Linked DNA regions of Oryctolagus cuniculus. The protein of the gene in region 7 purifies or fractionates together with the protein of the main gene of each other region. This does not show direct contact. Links are inferred from orthologs where the notes say so. Each region holds a gene or a part of one and is shown on either strand. Other genes may lie near its edges. The genes, in order: PHF1, SIN3A, PWWP2A, CUL4A, BACC1, SAP30L and RBBP7.

Region 1 (4,341 bases), on a different chromosome or scaffold from region 7:
TATCTATGTACCCGACTTATCAAATAAAGAATAGTTTTTTTTTTTTAAATAAAGATTTTATTAGCATTTGCCCAAAGAGGAAAATATTTTTCATATCCGTTAAGACAGGAGCTGTGGAGGTGCCTATCCAGCCATGTGTTTGTGGGCTAGGAATTAGGGATTAGGTTTCTCTCTTTAAACTTTTCTTTTCTGAAAGGAGACCTGGAAAGCTAGTTCACTCCCCACATGCCCGCCACAGACAATGCTGAACCAGGAGCCCAGAACTCAACCTGGGTATCCCACCCATGTGGGGGGCAGGGACCTAGGGTGCACAACAGCACCTGGAGTTGGAAGCCAAGCTGGGGCAACCGAACGTGGGATGGGGGTCGCAACCCGAGCTGTGTCTTTTTTTTCTTAAATTACTTGAAATGAAGTTAGAGGGGCAGATCTTGCACCCGCTGGCCCCCAAGTTGCGTCTTAACCGCTAAGCCAAACGCCGGCCTCGGGCTTTCCTCACCTGCTCGGGATCATCTGACTCCCTACGCGCCCTCCCCCGTCGCCACTTCCTTGAAGGGTGCCGCCTGGTTGTCCAGCACAGCCACTGATGGAGCTCCCCTACGACGGGCACCCGGGCCCTGCGGCGGTGCGGCGCGCGCTCCCACCAACTGCAGGCGCTGTCCTCCCGCCCTTTCCTGCCTTCGCGTTCGAACCGCCGGGGCGCTGCCCTCCTGCTGCCCATTGGCTGGCTCTCGGCGGCGTCACCGCCCCGGGTACTAGCCCTCTGCGTCCCGGCGCCCGCCCCGCAAGCGGGAGGGTGCGCATCCGCGCCGACCCCTCGCGCTCCCCGATGTCGGCCGCCGCCCGGCAGGGGAGGGGCTCGGCCTTCCCAGGTGCCGTGCGCGGGAGGGGCCACGCGTGCGCAGAGCCGCGGCGGGAGGGCGGGGGGCCCGCGGGCCACGGGGAGGGCGGGGCCGGGGCATCGGCGGGAGGAGGGCGGGGCGAGGGCAACGGGAAGGGTGAATGGAGGGCGGGGCCGCGAACTGGGGCCCGGGGGCGGGACTTGGAGTGACCACGGGGGGTGGGGCAGCTAACGGATGTAGCATGGGGCGGGGGGCCAGTCTCGAGGCAGGCCGCCGGGAGGGGGATTCCCTCTGGCCCCAAAGGCGAGCCTGCCATCCGGGGAAGGGGCCGCGGGGATTCCCTCTCCTTGCCGGCTCGACTATTCGCGCCCCGAACCGCTGAGGGGCAGCCGCTCGCTCGCGCCCTCCAGGCCGCTGGAGGTGAGGGAGGTGGGGTGAGGTGGTGCCCGCCCCCCCTTCGGCTCCTCCTTCCCCAAGTCCTCCCCTCCCAGCCGGTCCGTCCCTCCCCTCCCTCCTTCCCTCCCTCCCCCCGCCGCCTCCTCCTGCCGCTGCCGCTGCTTTGGCTGCTGCGTCATACGCCCCAGAGCCGCCGGGACGGAGGGGCTGGGCCTGGGGACCCCCCGGCCTCCGCCTGCACGCCCCCGGGCGCCCGGACGTGCCCTCCCCGCGCGGGGGGCTCACCTGGGTCTCAGACGTCTGCCCCTGCCTGGCTCCCGGCGGCCCCAGCTGTCACCGGTAAGGAGGCGGGCAGGAGGCGCTGGTGGGGGGGGGACAGGGAGCCCGGGGGTCGGCGCGCAGGGCGCGGGCGGGAGAGCCTTGCCGCTCTGGCCTCGGGTCGGGCTGGGCCGACTCCAGTGCCTTCTCGGACTTGCCGTGGTGGGGAGGAGAGAGCGGGACTGGGACACGCCCCCCTCCCAGAGCACTCGGGGAAGTTACCTAACCCAGGGGCAGGAAGCCCCGAATTTGAGGGTGACCTGACATAACCGGGCACCGGATGATTGTTCTGTGTGAGACCAGCAGGCCGGGGGACAGCTGTTTCTACTCTGGAAAACACCTCCAGAAACGCTCCCTAAACACATGCCTGGGCAACAGTACCGCGGTGGCGATATGTCTAAGCAGAGGGGAGGGTGAAGCTGAGTAGCAATCTCTGCTTCTCCAGCCATCATTTCTCCTCAAATCTTAAGACCGGGCTGTGCTATCCCAGGAGAGCGCTCGGTTTTGGGGAGGGTGGCCAGGAGAAGTGGCCACCAGAGTTGGAAGAGTTGGGAGTCCGGACACTGAGTGGCTTCCCGTCCTAGTGTCCCAGGGTTTGGAGACCAGGCGTGCAGAGACTGATCCCTGACAGAAAACTAGGCAAAGAAAATGGGCACGCTTCCTCAGCATTCCTCACCATCTCCTTCCCGCCTCATTTCTGGCCAGGCCCCCCCAGGATGCGATGGCGCAGCCCCCCCGGCTGAGCCGCTCTAGTGCTCCCTCACTTTGGGACCCGGCGTCCCCGGCCCCCACCTCAGGCCCCAGGCCTCGGCTGTGGGAGGGTCAAGATGTGCTGGCCAGATGGACTGATGGGCTGCTATACCTGGGCACCATCAAGAAGGTAAGCCCTTCCTCTGACCTCTCACCGTCCCGTTCCCCTTATCTAAGTCTGGCTCCCTTTTCATCCTGTGTTCACCCACCCCAGGTGGACAGTGCTCGGGAAGTGTGTCTGGTCCAGTTTGAGGATGATTCCCAGTTTCTGGTTCTGTGGAAAGACATTAGCCCTGGTGAGACCCCAGAAACCTCAGCCTGCAGCCTATGGCAAACAGAAACCTGGCATGGGGGGGTACAGAGGGCCTCGAGGGCAGGCCTCCTGACACAGGGTTCCCCCACAGCCGCCCTCCCTGGGGAGGAACTCCTCTGTTGTGTCTGTCGATCTGAGACCGTGGTCCCTGGGAACCGCCTGGTCAGCTGTGAGAAGTGTCGCCACGGTAAGAGGCAGGATACCTGTGGGAGAGCTTGCCCTGGGCCTGCCAGCCTGTGTCTAGCCTGCCCCTCCAGCACTGCTCCTGTGTCACGTCGCTTCTTCTGGCCCAAGTCCCCACGCCACTGCTCTGGCCAGTCTCCTCAAGACTGAAATCTTGCCCCCTTTCAGCACAGGGAGAGGCAGCCATGGAATGAAGGTGGTATAAGTTTAGCAAGCAGAGGTGATTCAAAGACATCTCTCTCTAACCATGTGACTTCAGGCAAGTCCCTTAACCTCCTGTTCTCTCACTTGTAAAATAAAGATAATACTTTCACGCTGGCAGAACCGTGGTCAAGGATTAAATAAAATGGGTAAAACTGTTCCTACCCCAATACCAAGCACACATGGGCATGCAATAAATAAGTGGTCTACTATCAACATTATCATTATTCAGCTTATCACCAGGACTGCCACGTTCCCCGGGCCCCAGCCCCTGGAGAAGGAGAGGGCACATCCTGGGTCTGCCGCCAGTGCATCTTTGCGATCGCCACCAAGGTAAAGGCACCCTCCTACTGCGCCTCTCCTGAGCCTGTCCCGCCCACCTCTGAGGCCTCCCGCCTGCTGTATCTCTGCAGAGGGGAGGGGCACTGAAGAAGGGCCCCTATGCCAGGGCCATGCTGGGTATGAAGCTGTCTCTGCCGTACGGACTGAAGGGGCTGGACTGGGACGCCGGACATCTGAGCAACCGACAGCAGAGCTACTGCTACTGTGGCGGCCCTGGGGAGTGAGTAATGAGAGGTGGCAGATCCCAGGGGGTGCAGGAGTTAGAACAGGGTGAGGGGAGGACGGGGGATGGGAGGTAGGTGCCGAGCAGGGTTTGGGGCAGTTAGGGGGAAGAGGGTGTCTGAGGCGACTCGTCCCGTTTCCCTCAGGTGGAACCTGAAAATGCTGCAGTGCCGGAGCTGCCTGCAGTGGTTCCATGAGGCCTGCACCCAGTGTCTGAGCAAGCCCCTCCTCTACGGGGACAGGTGAGGGCGTGGCGGATCCTCAGGGGGCCAAGCTGCCCCGCCCTGTGCTCCACACTCTGCATTTCCTCGTCTGTCCACCCTCCTTGCTTCTGAGCCCTCCATGGCATGGTTTTCCACAAGGTGACACGTCCTCTTTCTCTTGCCCACATCCAGGTTCTATGAATTTGAATGCTGTGTGTGTCGGGGAGGCCCTGAGAAAGTCCGACGGCTACAGCTTCGCTGGTAAGGTGGACTGAGCCTGACCTCAGTGTAGCTTCCTTCCCAGCACCCTCCGCGTTGCACCCTACATACCCCAGCCGCCCATCTCAATCCCCTGGCTTTTGAAATGCTTCTTGTGGCCTTGACAACTCCGTGTTTCTCCAGGGTGGACGTGGCCCATCTTGTCCTCTATCACCTTAGCGTCTGCTGTAAGAAGAAATACTTTGATTTTGACCGCGAGATCCTCCCCTTCACCTCTGAGAACTGGGACAGTTTGCTTCTGGGGGAGGTAAAGGGATAGTGGCACTTTTAGGTTGGGGTAGGACAGGGAGACAGA
Region 2 (3,755 bases), on a different chromosome or scaffold from region 7:
TCTCGTTGAGCAGGCTCTTGGACCGCAGCACCTTCGTGTCGTTCTGCTTGAAGTTGATGCCCTGGTGGTCCAGAGACTTCAGGTAGTACTTCTCGTTCTGCTCTCGCCACACCTTGTTGAAGCCCCTCTGAGCTTCTCGCCACTCCTCCTCTTTCATCTTCAGCCTGCGTGGGAGGGAGGTGCACACAGCGACAAGTGGGAACTCAGGCCCAGAAGGGAGAGGCATGCCAGGCTGACTTCCAACCCAAAGATCACTAGGGCTGCTGGAGTCCTTCACAGCGAGGGGCAAATGTCATCAGACCCGGCCTGGACTGTCACGTGGCGAATCAGCCATTCAGGACGCACTCTGAGGCAGTAACTGGTGCCACAACCACAAATCTAATCTAGTTACTTCCCAAACAGCACCCCAGAAAACCCCCTGGGGCGAGGGTGCATTTCCTTCAAGAAGGGGCTCTCTGCCTCAGACAGCTGGAGAGCCTTAGGCCCTCTCCTACACTTGGACACAGTCCGCAAAGCTCCAAGCGGAGTCCCTGACTCTGAGGCTCCAGGGAAGAATGAAAACCAACACAGCACCAGAACTAAAGGCTAATCTGCACCTCAGAAGCCACACGTCAAACACTACTGGCTAGAGGAATAATCCGCAGCGTGTGCCTGCTCTTTAGGGGAAGGCTGGGGACGAAAGGTAAAATCTGGACTTGTGTGAGCTGTGCAGCAAACAATCAACGTTCGCCAGGTGATACCGAGAGGATTTAGCTCTTAGCCAAAGCGTCACAGCACGGTCAGAGTACCAATGGGGGCAGGCAACTGGCCTACATCCGCCTGCCAGGACCTGGGTTCAACATCCAGTTCTGGCCTCCAACTTCAACACAGCTTCTGCCAATGCAACCCTGGGAGGCAGTGCTGCCGGCCTGAGTGGCTGGGTCCCTAACACCTATGCAGGAGACCTGGATTGGGTTCCCAGCTCCTGGCCTCCGCCTCCGGCACTGCAGACATTCCCGAAGTGAGCCAACAGATGGGAAGTCTGTGCCTGTCTCTTTGCCTTTCAAATATTAAAAACCAATAAAGAATTAAAAAAAAAAAAAAAAAAAAAGGAATGCCATGAACTTAGAAAGGACGCTGGAGCTCAGCCCTGCCTGTGGTCTCTTGCTTGAAGCCTTAGGTGGGTACTCAGCCCTCCACACCCAACCGTGCCTGGTCTATCAGGACAAACATTCTTGGTAAAAATGGCAAACACTGTTTTCACGAGCATGTCTCAATTTTTACAAATACTCTTGTGGCACGGAAGGCGCAGCCGTGGCCTGTGATGCTGTGCCAATTCAAGTGATAGCCACCCTGCTTCTAATCCAGCTCCCTGCTAATGCACCTGGGAAGGCAGCAGATGGTCCCAGTGCTTAGGTCCCTATCACCTGTGTGGGCATTCAGAATGGAGTTCTGGGCTCTTGGCTTGGGCCTGGCCCAGCCCTGGCTATTACAGCCCTCTGGGAAATGAACTAGTGGATGGAAAACATCTATTCTTTCTTTCTCTCCCCGTCACTCTTTCAAATAAATAAAAAAATTCTACGAAGAGTGATTTTTTATTATAAAACACACCAGGATCTTCATAACAGCTAGGACTGAACGGTAGGAACATGGGTCATTTCTTTCTTGGCTCTTCCTGTATTTTTTTTTTTTTTTGACAGGCAGAGTTAGGACAGTGAGAGAGAGAGAAAGGTCTTCCTTTTCCATTGGTTCACTCCCCAAATGGCTGCTACGGCTGGCACGCTGTGCCGATCTGAAGCCAGGAGCCAGGTGCTTCCTCCTGGTCTCCTATGTGGGTGCAGGGCCCGAGCACTTGGGCCATCCTCCACTGCCTTCCCAGGCCACAGTAGAGAGCTGGACTGGAAGAGGGGCAACCGGGACAGAATCCAGCACCCCGACCGGGACTAGAACCTGGGGTGCCGGTGCCGCGGGTGGAGGATTAGCCTGGTGAGCCGCGCGCCGGCCGGCTCTCCCTGTGTTTCACAACAGCCCCACACCTGCTCTCTACAGCTGGTTACACAGAACCTTCACAACAAGGTCCCTTCTCCTGCTTGTACCCAATTTCCAACAACCAGGGCTGGGGAGACACTCAGGCCAGCAGGAGCTCTGAAGGGGAGCCTGAGCCTGGGCGCAGCACAGGACAGCAGAAGGGCCCGGCCCAGGCACCTCTTGAGGACGATGGGCACGGCGATGGAGGGGTTCTTGCGCAGGCCATCGATGATGTCGGCGGCCTTGTCGGCATATATCCTCTGCAGAGCTTTGCGGTGGATCACCTCCGACGTGCCGCCAAGCGTGTTGTCCAGGCGGAACTTGGCCTGCTCCTCGGCAGACAAGCGCGAAAGCTTTTTCTGTATTGCTTCCAAAACCCGGATGGTTGCCAGATTGGTCTCCAAAACTACATCCAGCTGGAGAGAGAAACAAAGGTGCTTAGCACCCAAACCAAAACAGAGCGGCGGGGTCAGAGACCCGGGCTGGACGCTCACCTCCTTGACCAAGCCCGGCTCTGCCACTGCAGCACAGTCCAAAGGCGGCAGCACCCGGGGTCCTCCTGAGGCTGTTCTGGACTGACTGTACGATCTACACGAAGAGTCCAGCACAGCAGCTGGCACTCAGACACGTCCAGCCAAGACGAGAACGCGGCGGTGGTCCCTCACAGCACTGTGCCCTGCTCTCCACAGCTGACCCTACAGACCAGAGGGGCACACGGGAGCCACCCTGCTGCCACTCTCCCTGAGCGTCACGCACTGCTGAAATCCCTCACCAAACACCACTCAACACAGCCTGCTCCACAGCCAGCAGTAGTCTGAGCGCTGGCGCTCACTTCTCGTGGAGTCCACATTCTATCTGGGGGTAACCACTTGAATTCTTACTCTGGCCACTTATTTTCTGGAAGAGGTCTCGCTCATCTGGCACTGCACGCCTTAGACTACCCGTCTCCAAGGTTTCACACAGAGTCTAAATGAGGGACAGAGGGTGCAGCAATGAGCAGTGTGCAAAGGTGTCCCCCACGTTTTCTTGTTCCAGGACCCCGCTCCCAATTATGGATGAGCAACGGACTGAACTCTCTAAATCTCTCACGATCGCACGGGGCCCCGTATCTAGTGTGGCAACCGAGTTGTGAGACGAGTGTAAGTCCTGGTACTGCTCCGGGTGGGAGCATTCCGGCATCTCAGATCCTTCTTAGCTCTTTCCCTCTCACAACCAGATGCGGTCATCCTCAGAGCCAAGTCCCCAGCTGGACATGAACCCCGTTTTCCCAGGTCCCTGGACTTGGAAGCTGTCTTACAGCGTCCTGACTGATACAGGAACTCACCTTCCCCAGGTCATCCCTCAAACACAGCCCACAACTCACTGCTCCTTGCCCTTGCCGGCGCCAATGGGCAAGGAGGCTGCTGCCCCCCGCTGGCAGGCACAGTGGTCGGGAGTGAGGACTCGCACCGTGCCACAAAGATGCACACTGAGCCTGGCTAACCCGGGCAGCCAAGAAAGGCCCCGCAGTCTGCTAATCCCCACGGAGGCTAACACCTGTCAGGATCGAGTCTTCTGCAAATGGCTGGACTCCTGATGAATGCTGGGGCAAACGTGGCCACGACCTGCCAGGGGCCAGGCAGCACGTGAGAGCTCATTCTAGAACACTGGAAGCAGTGGGAGTCAGTGTGAAGAGGGAAGAGAGCTACGTCAGCATGGGTGAGAAGGAGAAAGATGCGGTCCGCCCGCAGAGCTAGGTGGGCTGGCCA
Region 3 (3,755 bases), on a different chromosome or scaffold from region 7:
TCATTTTCTTCATTCCTGTACCTCTGTGGTTTTAAACGAACCCGGGGAGGAAGGGAACCTGAGCTAGGATTCTGATAGCGACGTGTGAAATGGACTTTTGAATGCGCATTTTTGGAAGTAGAGGTTTCACTTTGCTTCTTTTGTGCCTTTTCTTTGGCAATTTTCAACACTTCCCGAGCTTTCGCATGATCCATATTCTTACTCTGGAGCACTTTTTTAGTATTTAACTGAGCTTTTGATGTATTTGCCTGAGCAGAAACTTTAACTACTCTGCCTCTGCTGTGAGCAATATTTGAAACTTTAACCACGGCATTTCTTTTCTGGCTTTCATTTTGGTTTTTCCCATCCACTTTATGGTCAGTTTTCAGTTTTTTGTTCACAGTAGTTACACTTTCATTTCTCCGCTTTTTGTCTTCATATTTAGTAGAGTCACTTACACTACTACCTTTTCTAATTTCCTTTTTTTCAGCAACAACACTGTTTTTACATTTATCACATAGGACTTGCCTGGGGCGTAGTTTAATAGCATTCATTATTGATGTGGGTTCTTCCCTGTACATTTTTCGTTTGGGTCGCTTAATTTTCCGAGGAGGTGGCTGAGGTATTGATTGGTTATATGTGTCCCTGATAAACAAAGGGGGAGGATAAGGTGCTCCTTCGTGGAAGAGAGGTGGTGGTTTGGAAGTCCACAAGCTTTCAGCCAAGTTCAGCTCAGGTGGTGGGAGAGGAGAAGGGTCCTCAGGAGCAGCACCATTCACTTCGCGCTTGACCTCTATCCCTTCTTGGAATGTGTTACTTTGCAGCTGCATGGCTTCCGGTTTATCCTTATATTCCCTTTTGGGAAATACTGTCACAGGGATCCCATGAGGCCCAAACCTTTGAAAAAAATAAAACACAAGTCATCAAGTTAGTTATCTGTAATTCAATTTCTTACACATAAAGAACACTTCCTGTTTTTTTTATATGATCTTTCCTGAAAACTACTTCATATAAAAAGTAAAGCACCAACACAAGAATCTACTGGCTAACTTTCCCAAAAGCTCAAAGACCTCACTTATTTTGGTTCTTCACTTCAGGTAAAAACAGAAACACTCCAAATGTTTATCGAAGGCAATACCAGAAAAGCTAATTTTACCTAAAATGGACCACTCCAGTTTTCAATCAGAAAGGATAGTTTAATAGTAAATATCATGTGCTATAACACTGAAGCATATATAACACTTTCAGAAAATGCAAGCATAAATTTCTAACATACAGATATCTTTGTCTAGTTAAAATAGCTTTCAAAACCTAAAACTCAAATTCAGGGGCCAACATTTACTATGATGCTGGCATCCCACATGGGCATTGGTTCATATACCGGCTGCTCCACTTCTGATCCTGCTCCCTGCTAATGGCCTGGGAAAAGCAGTGAAAGATGACAGAAGTGCTTGGGCCCCTGACACTCATGCGGAAGACCCAGAAGCTGCTCCTGGATCCTGGCTTTGGCCTGGCCCAGCCCTGGCTATTGTAGCCAAGTGTGGAGTGAACCAGTGGAAGGATAATCTCTCTCTCCAACTCTGAGGTTTTTTTAAAGTAATAATAAAAAAACTCGGATTCAGCTAATTACCCAAAAATACTCCATCAGTAAAATCCCATCTTTTCTTTACTTATTAACAGCTAAAGATTCCAAAGAAGTTGCTCCTTTACTCTTACATCCTTAACTCAAGGCTCCCCAGTCTGCCTGTAAAAGAAGCCAAACACACCAGAAATCAAGAAACTCAAATTACCTCCAAAGACGACAGGGTTTCAAGCTTTTAGAGTTATATTCCACATTAATAAAATTTTTTTTAAATAATATTTTCCCGGGGTCGCTGCTGTGGCACATCAGGTTGAACCACAGCCTGCAATGACAGCATCCCATGAGTAGTACCAGTTGAAGTCCCACCTGCCCACTTCCTGTCCAGCTCTCTTCTAATGTGCCTGGGAAAGCAGCAGCAGATGGCCCAAATGCTTGGGCCCCTGCAATCCATGTGGGAGACTTGATTTCCAGGCTCCTGGCTTCTGCCAGGAATGTCCTAGCCAATGAAGCCATTTGGGGAGTAAGGCAGCAAATGGAAGATCTGTCTCTCCCTTCTCTTGTTGTAACTCTGCCTTTCAAATGAATAAACCTTCAAAATTTTTTCCCATTATAACCCAATAAAAACGTTTGTGTCTGTATACATGTATTCATTAAAGGCAACTTCAAAATGGAAAATCGAATTAAAAATTTACAAGTAAATATGCATGAATATACACACTTAAGCAAAAGTTTCACCCAATAAATAACTTTATAAGATACTTGTTGACTGTTTAAAAGTATTTAATAGGGGGCCGGTGCTGTGGTGCAGCAGGTTAATGACCTGGCCTAAAGTGCCAGCATCCCATATGGGTGTCCATATGAGCAGTCCTGGCTGCTCCACTTCCAATCCAGCTCTCTGCTATGGCCTGGGAAAGCAGTAAGAAGATGGCCCAAGTCCTTGGGCCCCTGCACCTGCGTGGGAGACCCAGAAGCAGCTCCTGGCTTGAGATCCGCGCAGCTCCGGCCATTGCGGCCAATTGGGGAGTGAACCATCGGATGGAAGACTTTTCTCTCTCTCTCTGCTTCTCCTCTATCTGTGTAACTCTGACTTTCAAATAAATAAATTTTTTTAAAAAAGTATTTAACAGAATATAATTCTAACATCAATCATAAAGTAAAAGTGCTTAGAACCCAAGAATCAGGTAATCAAGGTAGAACCCCTGAAACTAGACCCAAATATTTTCTTTCCTTTTTATTTTTTTTGTCTTTTTTTTTTTCCTAGAGAACAAGTTAATGCTGTAAAACGAAGTTGAGAATACCTTTGTTAGGAAGAAATTTTGAGATTAGGTTCTGGCACTTGGAGACATCCCTAAACATATGAAATGAGAAAGACCCTATGTACACACACCACATACCTGATTCTAATGCCTAAATACTTTTCTTCCTAGTCTGTTACCTTGGCCACAAATTAACATTACAGCAAATATGTGTGAATGATGGAAGTCCACCTAACACAGGACAAGCTTGGGTCTGGGATAGACCAAGAAGGAAAAGACTCCCTCCTCACTGCAGACTTCCCAGAAAGTTACTTTTTATTCTAGCATCACATGTTAACTGTTTGCTTCCTAAATGCAAAGCACTATGATCATTTAACCTTTTGTCATTGAAGATGACAAAAGAGGAGATTTTTGTGTTTTACTATACAAAACATACTGTTGACTTATCTGAAGTGAGACCACTATTTGTATTAACACATTTTTCGAATTCATAGACCATTTCACCCCATTGACCAGTCACATTTCTGATAAGGGCATTTTCTTTGTTTAGCTATGCAAACAACTAAACCATCATTACCTTCATGTTTGAATAACCTTTCATAGCTATCTCCTATCAAATGTTTGTACCCTCAAAACTTCTATCCTGAATAACACTTCCTACCTTGAAGGATTCAAGTCAGAATTAACAGCTCAATAAAGTTTAGCCATCTCTCAGGCCTAAAATTCATTTAAGTAATCTGATTTTTCAGACAATTTATTAGAGGTTCACATCTAGATTTTTTTCTTTTCCCTCATAAGCATATAAAATACTCAACCATAAAATGTTTTTAATAACACTGAGAAGCACTTCATTGGGTAATGACAAATCCAAGTTATAAGCTACCAACAGAAGAAAAAAAAATATAAAGGAAGCCAAAACTGGTACTTTGGGTGGTAAA
Region 4 (3,445 bases), on a different chromosome or scaffold from region 7:
GATTTGCTATTCTGGAAAGCTAGCTTTTATGGGAACAAGTCAAAACGCATAATAAAACAGGACTCATCCTGTCTGTCCTCTCTCTGCGTTTCTCATGAAACTCGACAACCTGAAATCATACTGAAAGACATTTTCACCTCTTCCCTGTTTTTGTCCAGGTTGAGGAACAGGTTAGCACCACTGAGCGGGTGTTTCAGGATCGACAGTATCAGATCGATGCTGCCATCGTCAGAATAATGAAGATGAGGAAGACGCTGGGTCACAATCTCCTGGTTTCTGAGTTGTATAATCAGCTGAAGTTTCCGGTCAAGGTGAGTGTAGCGTGGGCGCCTGAGTGCGTGGTGCTGTGCCAGCAGCCGTCCTGGGGCCCAGATCTGTGGCCTCGGTCAGTGGTGATCGTCTGCATGCAGTGTGCTGGGGGACAGGGCTCTGGCCGGCGTATTCCACTGGTGCCTGTTTCAAGAAGGAAGGGCGGATGTGCCGTGGGTGTCTGGACAGACTTCTCAGCGGTGCTCGCGGGGTTGCGAGGAGAGGGCAGTGAGAACTCCTGTTCTGCAGTTAGCAGCCACAGAGCATCTCAGCCTCAGGTCAGGTGTCCGTTCTGACCCCCAGCGCCGAGTCACTGCCCTGCACGTGGGACGCACGCAGGCAGGGCAGCATTAAGGAGACCCAGCAGGTGTGTGGTCAGCCCGGGAGTCACGAGCTCTGCCTGCCACCAGCTCCCAGTCCCCTGGCCCTGTGCTGTGGGAACTGGGGACACCGTGGGACAGCGGCCGGTGCTTGAGCCCTGTGCCCCCAGAGGTGACGTGCATCAGCGTGAAACACTGTCACGGCTGCTGCTGTCCTCCCCCACGCCAGGGCCGGTGTCCGCGCTCCTCTGTCGGCCCAGAGGCCCGACGAGCAAGTGCAGGGCTGCGTGGCCAGCCCGGCACGCGGCTGCCCGAGCTCCTGCTCTGCCTTTAAGGGAAGTGCGTTTCCCACTGTGTCTTAACCGCGTGGCCCGTCGCCGCAGAAGGGTGCCCTGTGGGAAACCCTGTGGAGGGAGAGCCTTGCTCATGCACTCACATAGGTGCTTCCAAATGCGGTGGACTGGGAGGTGCGCAGGTGGCAGGGCCACTGGAGTTTGTATCATGCGGTGCGGACACAGTGAATGTGGTCAGTGAGTGGTAACAGAGCCAGTGCCCAGGGACGGGGTCCTTCCGCACTCGCCTGCGTGCGTGGGGCCTCCCCTGCTGTGCACGCGCCGCTGAAAGCAGGGGCTGCGTATGCTCCTGCACCCCCGGGACACCACACTGAGGGCAGTCAGATTCTCTTAGGTAGAAAACGGCATTCGTTTGAGCGTTGCCTGTGTGCAGTTAGAGGGATGTGTGCACAGTGCGTGTGCAGTGGCAGTGATTCTGGGACAGCATCGCGTCACGTGTGAGTATTGGCATGCGTGGCACCCCAGTGATCGGGGACTCTGCTTTGCTTTTTCAGCCTGGCGATTTGAAGAAGAGAATCGAATCTCTTATAGACAGAGACTACATGGAGAGAGACAAAGACAATCCCAACCAGTACCACTATGTGGCGTGACGTCAGCCGTGTCTGCGTTAGAGAAACACTAGAATGTATCTTCAGAGCGACGGGGCGCCTCCACGCGTCGCCGGGACTCTGCTGGAGCCCGCTGTGGGCCCTGGACGAGACGGGAGAGCGCTGATTCTGGGCTGTCCCCACAGGGCTTGGGTCTCCAGACGGCATAAGTATCTTTTCCCCCTCTGGTTCTTTTAGGCATTTAAATTGTTCCTATTGCTTTGTGCAGACTGAGACGCTGGTTAAAGGCGGCCCTCAGAAGGTCGTGTTCCCGGGGCAGGAGCTGAGCTGCTTCGGTTCTGTGTGTGTGGTCACGAGTGCGCCGAGAAGACCCTACATGCTGCATTTCGCTCTAAAGATGCCTGAAGCCACGCCCCTCGTGCTCCACCGGCCGCCCAGTGATGCAGCCTCAGCAGCCCGCACCTGTGTGTTCTGTTTTTCCAAACGTTTCGGGCTTTTTGACTGGATTCCTGAAACTCGGGTTTCAGGCGAGGGCCGGGGCTGCCAGCACCTTCAGTCCCGCCCAGCTCCGCGCGCTGTCGGTTGAGGGCCTGGGGGTTCGTGTGTTGGTGTGTTCATTCTAAGATTGAGTCTAGCAGTCCCTGGTTTTTGGCATTGGGGAAACTGCTGTTTGATTTTTTTAAATTGCAGTATTTGTATGATTACTATAATAATAAAGTCAGGTTTGGTTTTTACAGTCCTGTGCAGGGACAGCCCTCGTTCTCTGCTCTACCACTATTAAAAAGTTTTCTAGGAGACTTGAAGTCTTGACATTGTGAAACAGAAGTTATTTTGTCAAAAGATTAAAAGGCTTTTGTTGGTATCTGGCTACGTGTGTGTGTGGGTGGGTGTGCGTGGGTGCGTGTGCGTGTGTGTGTGTGTGCGCGCAGCCCAGCAGCTCCCTGGAAGCTCCGTGGGGGTGTCAGTGTGTGACTGTGATCACATTTCAGAGTGCTTTCTGTTTGACATAAGAGCATGTTTCACTTTGATTCAAAGCTACCAAAGGAACCTTGATCATGGTATAAGTATTTAAAGCAATATTTTCTGGAATACACCAAGTTTATATAATTTGATTTTGTGGTAAATTATTAAAAGATTCTTCGTTTTTGAAACATGCGTGTTTAGGATATGACATCCTTTGGGTTCCCATCTTAAATCCTTATTCTTCATTATTTCTATATTTGTAAATTTTTGTTTATGAATTCTGATATGTGGTGTGGGAGAGACCAGATAGACTTCTACTTCTACTTCTTCAATTTTAAGTTCACTGTGTCTGGAGATTGTTAATGTAATTTATGTGGACTGACTTCGAATAGTCTAACAGGCCTTAAAATCGCAGTAATAAACTCTGTGGTATGCAAATGGCACGCTCCTCGTACCTCTTCAGCCGGTGCTCCGCCGTCTCCAGGGCGGCAGAAGCAGGGACGCGGCCCGCTGGCCGCCCCGCCACGCGTGGCCCACTGCTCGGGGGAGTATGGCTCATTCAGTGCTTGTTATGGGTCGGCGGGCACGGGGAGTCGCTGGCGAGGCAGGTGCACAGGAAAGGAGAGGGAGAAGCCGTGAGAGCCGCGACAGAAGGAGCGGGCCACTAAGTCCCCTGTATGCCTGCAAGGCGGGGCACTGGCACGATGGTGAAGTGACCGTGTGAACGGCAGAGGCCGCCTTACCCGGGCCGGGGGCCACCACACAGGGCAGGGCTGGGGTTTAGTTGTGATGGTGACCGTGTGCAGGGAGCTGTGGCTGCTCAGGGCCGCGGCAGGGCAGACCGGAGAGCTGAGAGGACTGAGTCAGGAGGGCTGTCCAGTAGGGGTCCCATGGGGTGGTCAGGACAGGGCTGCTGGGCCCTGGGGAATCAGAGGGGATGGACACGCCCTGC
Region 5 (4,333 bases), on a different chromosome or scaffold from region 7:
GGGCCTTGTGATAAACTTCTCATGACGTGGTGGTGGTGGTGGGGTGTGTGTGTGTGGGGGGGGGCAGTGATGAATGCGCTGCAAACAGGCCCTTTAAAATCCCCAGGGAAGTTTCAGGACTTCTGCCTGCCAGAGGCCCTGGGACTACGTCCTGGCTCCAGAGAGCAAAGTGGAGTCTTTGTTGCCTACACCCAGCTCCCCTGGCTCTAGCAGCACAGAAATATTGGCACCGGGAGGCGAGTCTGCCAATATTGGCTGTGCTGCTCCAGGCGGGGTGGCGAGAGCTACTGGGAGGGGCTGGGCCCCTGAGGGCCGAGGCCAGGAGAGGGAATGGCCCTCTCCTGTTAATAACGTGAGCCCGACAGCACCAAGCTGAGAGACAAATCTTTATTGTTTTCTGTATAAAAATGTCCATCAGACAGAGGTCAAAGGGCTTGGGGCGGATGCTCGTCCAGGACCAGCCAGGCGGCCAGCCCCAGCAGCCTCTGCGCCTCTCTCGGGCAGGCCTCGCTCAGAGTCCCAGGCGATCCACAGGTCCAGGCGAACGGTGAGAGGGCTCGGAGGTGGGAGGTCAGCAGGAGAGCAAAGGAGCTTCAGCGCAGGTCTTTAGGCGGCCAGAACCCAGGGTCAGGCTGTCTGGAACAGGAAGGAGAACAGACCGAGATGGAGCGGGCCCCAAGTAGGCCTCTGAGACAGTGTCCCGGCCCGGCCGGCAGAGTGCACAGGGAAGGGCTCCTGCTGAGATCCTACCCCGCCCCCAGCTGGTGTGGGAGGAGGGGGACTCCTACCCTGGTGGAAGTTGAGTTTCTTGGCCGGAGGAGTTTCTCCCAGCCCTTCAATATCCACCAGGTCGCTATTGGCGTCCGAGTCGTTCAGAGCACTGAGCGTCACGTCTGCGAGGGGGGCACAAGCTAGGCTCTAGGTTCCCGACCACCCCGAGTTCTGTGCTCACCCCATCCGCCCCACCCCCTCCCCCTCTGCCCACCCAGGGGAGAGGAAGCCAGAGGGAGCGGAAGAGCTGTCTTGCTTCGCCCAAGGCCCAGTTCTCTCACTGAGCCTCAGATGGGACCTCTCGCGCCGAGGCAGCGACTCCACCGCCCTCACCGGACTTCTGTTTCTTTACAGGGGGGGCCCCGGCGTCAGGGACGCTGCAGCTGCTGGGCGGGGGGGCAGCCGGGGGAGGCGACAGGACCCCAGAGGCCACCTTCTTGGGCCCTTTCTTGGGTGACTCAGCTGGAAGCGCAACGCCAGAGTCTTCATACACCTTGCGTTTCACAGTGGCCTTTATCTGAGCCCTGAAGAGAAGACAGCCGGTTAGGGAAGGAGTGATCACCAAGTGGGGAGGGTGGGGGAGGAGGGAGCCTCTTCGCAAGAATTTTTGGTGGGGTTCTTTTTCCTGCAGCTTTGCCCTCACACCGGGCGGATGGATGTGAGGAGTGGGCTCCCTGAATTGAGTACGGGGAAAGGCCCACCCCTCCTGAGTCTCTCCTGGGAGAGAGGTGTGGCTGCAGAGGGCCACCAGGTAAGATGGAGACTTATTCATAGATCCCAAGCAATATTCAGAACCGCAATATTCCTGGAAACACTGTGGGAGAATCTCAAGAGATCTGTCGGATTACCCAGGGAACCTTGTGGGTCAAATGCAGTGATCGTGTCTCTCAGACAACCTGAAATCAGATTCTTGGAAGGCCCTCATTGCCAGGGCATTTTTGGGATGTCTGACCAACGTGACCATCCTTGTGTGTTTGCAGTCCTCAAGGGAGGACACGGAGCTGCAAGGGACTTGTGATGAGGGTGGAAGGAAGGGTGAGGGGAGGAAAAGGGCCCGCCCCCCGTTCTCTGCCCGCCTCCCTCCCTCACACGGTCCGTTCCTTGATGACACAGCTGATGTGATTAAGATCGTCCCCAAATCGTTTCACAGCAGCCCTCAGCATCTCTATCTCGGTGTCCGTCCACTTGGCTCTGTCGGGAGGGGAGAGGGGTCAGCAGAATGGGGAGAGGCGTGGAGCGAGCCGGCTGGCGGGGCCACAGCCGGCCAGTCGCCGCCTCCCGGTCTCTGGGGCCCCGGTCACGGATCCATAGAGAGGCCCTCTGTAAGGAGAAGAAAAGCTTGGAGGACCCCCCGGCTGCGGGAAATCGGGACACCTCGGACCACCTCTCTCTCCCATCAACGTGAAAGCCTCGCAACCTGCACCCTAGCAGTCTGCAGCAGCCCGAGGAACGGGAGTGGGTGGTCGTGGCGGGGGTACGACGGGGAAGTAGTGCGGGGCGGGGCCTGTCTGCATCTGTCACTCACTCACTCGACGATCACTTATTAACACCTGCTCCGGCTGTGCCAGCCACAGGGAAACTAACCGCTGTCCCTGCGCTAGAGAGGGTCCGCGTCCGCGTGGAGTCCGAGCGTCCGCCCTCAGCGTCCACGTCCCAGCCCGGGCTCACGTACCCCGCGGGAGAAGAGTCGGCCACGGGATGCAGTTGCATCGTCAGCTCCCCGAGCTTCGTGAAGGCGGCGCCCGCCGCAGAGAAGATCTCCCCGACCTGGGGGCGGGGCAGCATGACAGGGGGCCGGCGCACACCCCCGCGCCGGCCCGCCCGGAGCCCCTAGCCCCACCCCGGCTCGGCTCCCGCCCGCCCCCCGCCCGCGGCGGAAGAGCCGGGAGCCAAGCGGGGGACCCGCCCGCCCGTGGCCGCCAGGGAGCGCTGTCCGCGAGGGAGGTCGAACCTTTGTGGACGCTGACGTCATGGCCCCGCGCACCTCCTCAGGGAGACGCTGCCGCCGCCGCCGCCGCCGCCGCCACGCGAGCCGGGACCACGGAAGGAGCCTGGCTGCCGCGCCGCTCCGGGCTCCGTGCAGGAAGTCCCGCCCTCCCCGCCGCTGATTGGCCCAAGCCCTGCCGTTCCCGCCTCACCGACCGCAGTCACTGGGGCCGCCCGGGCGCGCCGAGGGAAGGAGTGGTGGAAGGCGTCGCCTCACTTCCGGTCAGCCCCATTCCATTTCCGCCCGGGGGTCGGGGTTCCCGGTCTGAGTCTGACCTCCGGCCCGCCCCCTCACGCAAGCACAGACACAAGTTTTAAGAGAGCAGCTTCTCTTTATTGTGGTACGGGACGAGGCTGGGAGGGCTGGGGAGCCAGGGGGCGGCCAACCCAGGCTCCCTCCGCTGGGGCTGCCAGAGGCCGGCGGACAGGGGTTCAAGACTGGCCGAGGTGGGGGGCACCCAGTCCCGCAGAGCGCGCCAGTGACCTGGGCCGGGGAGAGTCTTATAAATAGAGGACGGGGCTGGCGAGGGCAGCAGGGACCCTGCTCTAGCGCACCATGTATTCCTTGCGCTTATTGAGCCGGACTTGGCAGAAAGAGAAGCCTCCCAGGAGGAGGTAGAGGCCCGCGGCGATGAAGCAGTTGTAGCTGACTTGCTCATAAAGCTTGTATATGTTCTGGGGGCCGTTCCTGGAGGCGCGGATTAGGCAGAGAAACGGCGAGCGTTAATAGCAGCCAACACTCAACGGCGCAGTTCCTGTGCGCCTCGCTGTCAGTCCTACGGGGCGAGTGCCACAGTGCCCGCTTTGCAGAGGGGGACTGAGCTGGGCGTACGATGGCCGCTGAGGCCTGACCCCTACACGGCTGGCCAGCTGCTTCCTCCAGCGCCCCCAAGCATCCCGCCCTTAAGTCAGACTTTAGCCACCTGCCCACCTCCCCACCCGACTACTTACTCAAAGTCTTTCTCCGTGAAGGGAACGTCCTCGATTAGCACTGCAGAATGGACATTGAAAAATATTCCGAGCATTATCTTAAAAAAAAAAAAAAAAAAAAAAAAGGAATGGGTAGATTGTAGGACTCAGGCACCTGACTTCCTGGTTACCCCCTAAACCCCTTCTATTTCTAATATTGCCACAACACCTGGGCCTGGGATGGACCAGAATGAACCAGGATTAGGGGCGGCTGCTGCCGGCTTCGGACTCAGCCGCCTGGAACAGGGCGTGCGGTGGCGATGCCGAGACGGGTGATGGGACAAGCGCTTTCCCAGGAACCCACATTGTCCTCCTCCCCAGAAGCGTCACCCTCACGGGACAGGGCGGAAGACGTGAGGGAGGACCGCCACTTCTTCAAATCATTTCTTCTGGAAGTGGGGGCGGGTGGAGCCCGCTACCCTCTTCGGGAACGAGCACCCCTTATGCCCTGTACCCTCCGTTCGACCCAAGCATCTCTCAGGACCCCAACCCCAGCTCCCATTCTAGGCTCCAGTCCCACCACCCGCTAGGCTCCAGTTCCCTCTTCTGCAGCCTCAGTTCGGTCTCGTTTCGCACCAGCCCCGCCATCCTGCCTGCTGCTGGCCCA
Region 6 (3,755 bases), on a different chromosome or scaffold from region 7:
GTGAACGTACAAACTGGCAACTCAGGGTCGCGGTCGCTGACTGGAAAACAGAGGGCAAGGGACCACCCACCATATTTTTTCCCTAACACAGCAAGAAAAGAAAGCTACACAGTCATGAAATATCGAAGGCCCATCAAGCTGGGCTGCCTTTACCTGCCTCTAAAAGGGATGTTCTTGCTTCAGGCAGGTGGAGAGCACTTAAAAACAAAATGAACGATCAATATGACGGACAAAAGTCCTTCATTCTTTTCAAAACATTCCTTAAACCTTTTTCTGTGTGTGTGAAAAGCAGTTAGAAATTGAACACATCCATTTCTTTAAAAATAATAATAATACTAAACGCAACAGAATGGTGCCGTAAACTAACGCTGGAAAAGGGGACCCAGGGAGGGGCAGGGGCAGGGGCAGGGGCAAGTGCCGGAATTTTCAAAGGTTTCCTCCACATCTGCAGACAAAGGCCCGCCTACTCTTTCTATTCCTACACAGTCATTTTCACTCTGAGTGCTAACAGGCAGTTGCCTTATGAAATATTCATGCATCAAATATTCAATGTACACTATAAACGGTTCTTCTTTTGCTGAGTCTTATGTGAAAACAATTTAGAAACAAAGAAAATCCAATATCCTTTCCTGGAGCCTCATGTAACAGACACTGGCACCTTGAAGGCACCATGGTTTGAGAAGCCCAGGTCTCATGATCTAGTGCAGTGGCTTTCAACACAGGACCACTGTATCCCCTGAAAGGCATTTAGCAATGTCTGGAAAGCTATTTTGACTGTCATAGCTCAAGGTATGGTATGACTGGCATCTAGTGGGTAGAATCCAGGGATCCCACTATACATCCTACAATGTATAGGACAGTCCCCCAGAATAAGAATTATCTGGTCCCACACGTCATAAGTGCCAGAGCTGAGAAACTCTGGAGCAGGATAACTGACTATGGAACAGATCCTTGGGAACCAGCCTGTACCAGGAGTCATGGAATTAGAGAGTGACAGAAAATAAGAGCTGGTAAGAACTGACGAATTTACACCTTCATCTTACAGACCACAAAACCAAGGAATAGATATCACCAAATCCTACACACTCAGTCTCTAAAGGCAAAAATAAGATTTTAAATATGTTGACATGGTGGTTGCATTTAAGCATCTTGTGAGGGCCTTCTTGAAGAAAGAAGTATGGTCTCCTGGAAAGGACACTAGAGCAGAGCTTCCCAACTCTAATCACGGATGTGACCTGCAGTCTCTGAACCTGTAAGACGACGGGACAGTCAGACCGCTGGATTTCCATGCTTTTACGTTCTCAGATTTAATATTATGACTCTACGATTTGCTTTCCAAATAAACCACTGGAGAACAAAGGGAACTAAAATTACTTCTTAGCACAAACGCAGGCCAGGGATAAGTATCACATTAGAATTCATTCCTCCAGCTTTCTCGAGCTGCTATGTTTTGGCCTTTACCTCAGGAATGTCAGTGTCGTGTTCAGGAGAATCTCCACCATCGTCACTTGTCTTCCTCTTCCTTTTATTTCGGACACTCTGGATGAAATTTTTGTGGAAATCACAGATATACAGGTGCCTTACCTAATAGGGAGGAAATTAAAGTCAGGGTTGCCAATTCCATAGAAACTGTAACAGGCATCTGTCAAATGATGGGGCTGTTTTTCTTTGTGGGGCATTGGAGAGAGACAGAGGAGTGGGCTATACTTCCGGAAGCTCACCACTGAACTGGAAAACTAGAACACACATGGAGAAACCAAGTCACCATTGAACTGTAAAGACACTGAGCAAAGGAAAAGATCCCTGGTCAATCGGTGTGGAGGCTCCCGGCTCTGCAGGCAGAGGGGAAGGAGAATCAAGACTCAGAAGTCATCATCCAGTTATGATGACAAAGGGGTGAATGAGGAGGCCCAGGGCACACAGCATCAGTTGGGTGGTAGTGACTGTCTGTGTAGGGGCTCAAGAACAGTTTAGATATTCCTTTAGATAAGACAGACTCCCTCAAGGTTTTTGAAGCAAGGAGTGATGTGACATTTCCAGGTCTATAAAAGTCATGACTTTACAATGGGGCTGGAACATGCTGTCCTGGGAGAAGGGAAGCAGGCAAGATGGGCTGTGATAACAGTCCATGGGACACCCTATTTTAACACTGAGATAGTTACTATTGCAGGATAGTTCCTTAAAATTCTTTATTAGCATGTATCACTAAAATTTTTTTTCATGTATCAGTCTAATTCTTGTATTACCTCACATATGATCTACCAGGAGAGAGAAAAATGTGGAAATTCTCACAAAGTGGAACAACATAAAAGAAGCTGGATCTTACTGCTTATTTCCTAATACAAGCTGCAGATATTCTGGCAATGAGGTGGTAACATCAGCTAAGATGTGAAGAATATGTATATACGTACTATGTTTTTATTTAAAGATATAAGTACCAGGGTTGGCGGAGGAACCATTCCAAAGCCTTAAGAAACCTAATGCCTTTATAAATGACTAGGGGTTGTTGATGTTGAAACAGCTGCTACACAAATGTTCTGGAGAGATTTAGGAATTTAAGTCTATTCCTTAAATCCTTAAAGATAAAAGTAAGCTGACAGGAAATTAGCATCAATTAAGTCAGTCCTTTTTGTAAAGAAAATAATGAATGAAAACTTCATTTAGTCAGATGAATTACCAATTCTGTGTGGTTAGATTAGTGAGCTATACACAGTTTTAAGTTTACATCGTGGTGGTGTTTAGTAGACAGCAGGTACTCTATAAAAGCATCCATAAGGCAATCTCCATAGGCCACATGAAGAAAGGTCACCACTTTCATGGTTATGAAATGGAATAGCTTTGCCAGATTCAACTCCATCAAAGGATCTTTTCGACAGGGCACAAGCCATTATCCCAAAGAATCTGACCTAGCCGATTTACACTTCATACATTATATATATATATATATATATATATATATATATATATATATATATATATGAAGGTACTTCAAAAAGTTCATGGAAATATGTTATGAGAAAACTATGTATGTGCTTCAAATCTTTTCACACCAAAATAAAGTTTTAATGCCATCTTTCCATGCAGTTTCTTTAGTGCCCATGTACTACTAGACATGATTTTCTCCTGTAAGTACACCCTGAATTCCTGATAGGAACCTGGTCCTCCACGTTAGCTAGGCTGGCATGTGAATGTTTAGAGACCAAGCCGCAACTCAAATTCAGAGTGACAAGCATGGTGGTGTAACAACAGGCAGATTAGGTGATTTCCTAAAGCTTTGGCTGGGAGACATCAGGTCTTAACATTAGAATAATGGAATCCTAGCTGGAAGAGAACTTAGCAATCACCAATGCAAACTCATTGGCCCCAATCTCAATTTCTAGAAGGGTAAACAGAAAGGACCTGACCAAGGTCACTAAAGTATTCTAACTCTGGGTACATGTACTTTCCTAGGCTACATTTTTTCCTTTATTTAATTCTCAGTTCCACTTTTCTCCAGAAAAAAGAAAAAAAAAACAAAATACATCAATTGGAGAAATGTTTTCAGGTATACTTAGTCTGAATGTCAGAACATGGCTGACAACTACATAAAATGAGTCAAACTGCCTGCGTTAGATTTTTGATGTTGTTACAAAGGTTTTCTGCTAGACTCGTCTGTTTCTCCTTAACCATTTTCAAGTACATGCCAATTTGAACAATTCAGAGCTTTTGAGGGTGGGGCCTTCCGGGTGAGAAGGAGGCAGGAGCGTGGCAGCAAA
Region 7 (3,495 bases):
AAGGTGTAGCAAAAACTTGGGTCTGGGTTAACAGACCACCTCCTTCATCCTCGGACTTGTAGGAGTACATTTCTTGGTCTTAAGACCATTGTTTTTTAGTTATGTATGCAACTGCCTTTATTACACCTGGTTATCACAATTCAACTCTCAGGTGTTGCAGAAAAATCTACCTCTTTCAGACTGTAGATGGAAATAACTGTGAAAAAAATGATGCAGATTATCTTCTAGTTTGTGCTAAACACACTGCTTTATTTTTACAGCCCACGTCTTTCATGAGGATACGAATTGTTAAGAGGCAGTCTTGTTTTGCTTTTCAAAAACATTTTGTAGAGATTTTTCACTAATGTGAATCTGATTTTATCTACTCAATTCTGTATAGATTAAGTAAATATGTATGATAAATTTGACAGTTTCTGTGTATTCTTTTGTTGTTCATGTGACCTCAACTGTGTAGGAAGTCCATAGGTACCCATTGTCCTTTCTGCTCAAAAATGCGTGAGCACTCACCCTGACCTTTTAAAAGAATGAAACAAAGTTTATTTTAAAACTTTATTTCTGCAAAGCCAATCAAGAAAGTGTTGGAAGGAAAAAGTGTAAAAGTTATTGTTGCATATTTGGGAACAGCAAGCACTTAGTTTGAGAAAATGAGGACTTAAACAGTTGAACCCAAGGCAGTAGTACCCTGCTACTTAGGATCTTAAAACAATGGTGATGTTCTTTCTTACGCAACATTCTTTTCTTCCCTAACAGCTACAATATGATACAGTACGCAATAGCTCACTTGAAAGTGCTAGAATCAGAGGGTGAAGAACGCCATAAGCCATCCCACTTAACAATTCTTACTATACAATGCCTTTTTGGTGCTTGATAATCAAGCATTCTTTCATGTTACCATTACATTCAACAGAAAACTTCTCATACTTTGGGTTTAAGATCCTTGTCCCTCCAGTTCCGATGTTGTGACTTCTGACTCTTCGTCATTGTAAATATTTTCGGCCTGGAGATAACAACCAAATAAAGTCACAGGTAAAACTCTTCCACAATGTCTTTACAAAATCACCAACAAAATTTAGTTCACTGATCAATGTATTTCAGTGTTGGAAATTAAACATGGACACATTTTAAAGATTTTGTAGTCTGCAATATGTAATTCCACTTACATGCCTAGCCATCCTGTGATCACTGTTCATTGAAGTGTTTTTGGCCGGCGCAGCGGCTCACTTGGCTAATCCTCCACCTGCGGCGCCAGCACACCAGGTTCTAGTCCCGGTCGGGGCACCAGATTCTGTCCCGGTTGCTCCTCTTCCCATCCAGCTCTCTGCTGTGGCCCGGGAAAGCAGTGGAGGATGGCCCAAGTGCTTGGGCCCTGCACCCCCATGGGAGACCAGGAGGAAGCACCTGGCTCCTGCCATCGGATCAGCGCAGTGCGCCGGCCATAGTGGCCATTTGGGGAGTGAACCAACGGAAAAAAGGAAGACCTTTCTCTGTCTAAACCTGCCTGTCAAAAAAAAAGTGTTTTCCAAAAGTCCTTCAAGCATCATTTAGAGGGAGCTATGGCCATGTTATTTATGAAAGACTTGGTCAAGTGCTCAAAGAACTCAGCATGACTTGAACATCTTGATGTTCCCCTTTTGTCTCCACACCTATGACAGAGCACAGGCCCTGGAGACAAAGGTATCCAGCCAGCCTTGGATGAAGAGCACAACAATCAGAGCAGGTGCTGCATCTGCAACCAGCGTGCTCATATAGAGACATTACAGACATTTCTCCCAACCCAACAGGTGCTACAAACTGCAGATCAAGAAAGTACCAGTATCGAACTAAAGATTGTGTTAATATGGAAAATATTCTTTTGCAATGTTTCAACACTGGTTTTGTAGAATGTGCATCTTTTATATCACTAGCAAATCTCCTTTATGAGACAGTTGTGAAAAAACATTTCCGCTCACCATTTGCCATATCTGCATGATGTTATCCTCAGACACGGAGCAGATGACCCAAGGCTCATTGGGGTTCCAACTAAAATCTGAGATCTTGGCAGTGTGTCCTCCATGAATAAACTGTTAATAAGAACAAAAAAGGGTCCTGGTTTCATGTCATCTTCTATTATTCCAAATAGCTAAAAATTTTAGTTTTGAGAGTATCATTTTTGGGGGTGGCGAGAACAACTGTCACAAAATTGAGAGGGAAGGCAGCAACAGGCTCAATCTGTCCCACATAGGCCTAAGGAGTCTCCTGGGTCTCTACCTTTACTAAAAGAAATGCAGACCTCATACCCTCCCCCAGTCTTTCCAAAGGTACATTGTCCCAAGTTAAGAAAAAAACCTCAACCCCTGGGGCTGTAAAAGCATATCTCCAGGGTTTCCCATGGAGGCCTAAGCAGAGAGCTTTGCTGAAGGGGTAGCGTCTGCTTTCCCACAAGAGAACCTCACAGGAAGGCCCTGTATCTTATCTTTGCATTAAGATTCAGAGCAACAGCTCTTGTCAAGGACAATACAAAAGGCACACTTTCTGACAAAGTCTGCTTTGACTGCTTAGACAATGAGGTCTCTGTCAATTAGTCTACATGCGATGTAACTATTTTAGCTAGTATTCTATCAGTTTACAAATTGAGGGTATAACAGTTTCTCAAAAACACTTATGGGGTATACAAGTAAAAATATGGCTCAAAATATGGGTCACCAGAGCAAGACACTGTCATATTGACATGATAGTATACAGTTTACTCAAATGTCCCGATTTCAGGGTTTGTGTGTGTGTGAAAAGAACAAAGTCCTAGAGGATTTTCAAGGACCTCCAGGAAACGGTTGCAAAGCCATGATGTACAAAGTAATAAACTTTGCCGTCTCTGCTATATATATAAAAAAAAAGCTGGAAACCTTGAAAACATCACGCTAAAGTTAAAGAATCAGTCACAAGGAACGCATATTTTATGAGTCCATTATATGAAATGCCTACAATAGCCCAATCTTAGAGACAAAGACGGATGGTGGCTGGGAGCCATGGGAAGATCAGGAGGTGAGTATTAGGCAGTTTCCCTTTGAAGGAACAAAAAATGTTCTAGAACTGACTTGTGGAAATGGTTGTACAACTCTGAATATACTAAAAAACACTGAATTGTATAAGTAAGTGAATTGTATGGTATGTGAATTATAACTCAAAGCTGTCACTAAAATAAGTGAAAATAGCAGGACAAAAATAGCTGGGAGCGATGCCTTTCCTAGAAAATACTTAAAAACTATGAAGTGCTGCTTCACAAAACGGATTCTTTGGAATAGGTTGCCCAATATAGAATAAAGCCCTTGTATGTGGTCTGGCTAGTGCCACGGTTTACTGAGAAGTACACCCTGAGTTGCTACGGCATGGTAACTAGCTGCCTTAAAAGGACACACAAGGTAGGACCTACTGAGCACCTTCTGTGCAGTTTACTCTCAAGGGCCTTCTTTACCTTTAAAGACTCATGGGGAAAGCACAAATGTACTAAAAATTGGTGCA

What was found.
Region 1: the proteins of RBBP7 (region 7) and PHF1 purify together in Homo sapiens (affinity purification with mass spectrometry; 7 studies listed by BioGRID and IntAct, with this or other methods). This does not show direct contact. The link is inferred for Oryctolagus cuniculus from reciprocal best matches to the Homo sapiens genes RBBP7 and PHF1.
Region 2: the proteins of RBBP7 (region 7) and SIN3A purify together in Homo sapiens (affinity purification with mass spectrometry; 8 studies listed by BioGRID and IntAct, counting the BioPlex papers as one, with this or other methods). This does not show direct contact. The link is inferred for Oryctolagus cuniculus from reciprocal best matches to the Homo sapiens genes RBBP7 and SIN3A.
Region 3: the proteins of RBBP7 (region 7) and PWWP2A purify together in Homo sapiens (affinity purification with mass spectrometry; 3 studies listed by BioGRID and IntAct, with this or other methods). This does not show direct contact. The link is inferred for Oryctolagus cuniculus from reciprocal best matches to the Homo sapiens genes RBBP7 and PWWP2A.
Region 4: the proteins of RBBP7 (region 7) and CUL4A purify together in Homo sapiens (affinity purification with western blotting; 4 studies listed by BioGRID). This does not show direct contact. The link is inferred for Oryctolagus cuniculus from reciprocal best matches to the Homo sapiens genes RBBP7 and CUL4A.
Region 5: the proteins of RBBP7 (region 7) and BACC1 purify together in Homo sapiens (affinity purification with mass spectrometry; 3 studies listed by BioGRID). This does not show direct contact. The link is inferred for Oryctolagus cuniculus from reciprocal best matches to the Homo sapiens genes RBBP7 and BACC1.
Region 6: the proteins of RBBP7 (region 7) and SAP30L purify together in Homo sapiens (affinity purification with mass spectrometry; 3 studies listed by BioGRID and IntAct, counting the BioPlex papers as one, with this or other methods). This does not show direct contact. The link is inferred for Oryctolagus cuniculus from reciprocal best matches to the Homo sapiens genes RBBP7 and SAP30L.

Annotation. Positions count from the first base shown.
Region 1 is NC_091436.1:135,735,423-135,739,763, reverse strand, and holds the start of PHF1 (PHD finger protein 1), read left to right. Parts: upstream 1-1,379; 5' UTR 1,380-1,574; intron 1,575-2,258; 5' UTR 2,259-2,274; coding exon 2,275-2,433; intron 2,434-2,517; coding exon 2,518-2,599; intron 2,600-2,707; coding exon 2,708-2,803; intron 2,804-2,967; coding exon of another isoform or gene 2,968-3,058; intron 3,059-3,232; coding exon 3,233-3,333; intron 3,334-3,413; coding exon 3,414-3,562; intron 3,563-3,710; coding exon 3,711-3,806; intron 3,807-3,959; coding exon 3,960-4,028; intron 4,029-4,169; coding exon 4,170-4,293; intron 4,294-4,341. UniProt on the Homo sapiens protein: Polycomb group (PcG) that specifically binds histone H3 trimethylated at 'Lys-36' (H3K36me3) and recruits the PRC2 complex. Involved in DNA damage response and is recruited at double-strand breaks (DSBs).
Region 2 is NC_091443.1:108,567,702-108,571,456, reverse strand, and holds part of SIN3A (paired amphipathic helix protein Sin3a), read right to left. Parts: intron 2,424-3,755; coding exon 2,185-2,423; intron 165-2,184; coding exon 1-164. UniProt on the Homo sapiens protein: Acts as a transcriptional repressor. Corepressor for REST. Interacts with MXI1 to repress MYC responsive genes and antagonize MYC oncogenic activities. Also interacts with MXD1-MAX heterodimers to repress transcription by tethering SIN3A to DNA.
Region 3 is NC_091437.1:47,036,381-47,040,135, forward strand, and holds part of PWWP2A (PWWP domain-containing protein 2A), read right to left. Parts: intron 2,112-3,755; exon of another isoform or gene 1,610-2,111; intron 877-1,609; coding exon 1-876. UniProt on the Homo sapiens protein: Chromatin-binding protein that acts as an adapter between distinct nucleosome components (H3K36me3 or H2A.Z) and chromatin-modifying complexes, contributing to the regulation of the levels of histone acetylation at actively transcribed genes.
Region 4 is NC_091440.1:693,510-696,954, reverse strand, and holds the end of CUL4A (cullin-4A), read left to right. Parts: intron 1-158; coding exon 159-311; intron 312-1,476; coding exon 1,477-1,572; 3' UTR 1,573-2,931; downstream 2,932-3,445. UniProt on the Homo sapiens protein: Core component of multiple cullin-RING-based E3 ubiquitin-protein ligase complexes which mediate the ubiquitination of target proteins. As a scaffold protein may contribute to catalysis through positioning of the substrate and the ubiquitin-conjugating enzyme.
Region 5 is NC_091448.1:51,719,649-51,723,981, reverse strand, and holds BACC1 (chromatin complexes subunit BAP18), read right to left. Parts: upstream 2,968-4,333; 5' UTR 2,744-2,967; coding exon 2,723-2,743; intron 2,539-2,722; coding exon 2,444-2,538; intron 1,963-2,443; coding exon 1,861-1,962; intron 1,296-1,860; coding exon 1,105-1,295; exon of another isoform or gene 986-1,104; intron 894-985; coding exon 789-893; intron 637-788; coding exon 572-636; 3' UTR 374-571; downstream 1-373. Other genes in the region: RNASEK (ribonuclease kappa), read right to left, coding at 3,304-3,445, 3,709-3,785. UniProt on the Homo sapiens protein: Component of chromatin complexes such as the MLL1/MLL and NURF complexes.
Region 6 is NC_091437.1:41,399,301-41,403,055, reverse strand, and holds part of SAP30L (histone deacetylase complex subunit SAP30L), read right to left. Parts: intron 1,585-3,755; coding exon 1,462-1,584; intron 1-1,461.
Region 7 is NC_091453.1:3,004,321-3,007,815, forward strand, and holds the end of RBBP7 (histone-binding protein RBBP7), read right to left. Parts: intron 2,061-3,495; coding exon 1,950-2,060; intron 998-1,949; coding exon 929-997; 3' UTR 536-928; downstream 1-535. UniProt on the Homo sapiens protein: Core histone-binding subunit that may target chromatin remodeling factors, histone acetyltransferases and histone deacetylases to their histone substrates in a manner that is regulated by nucleosomal DNA.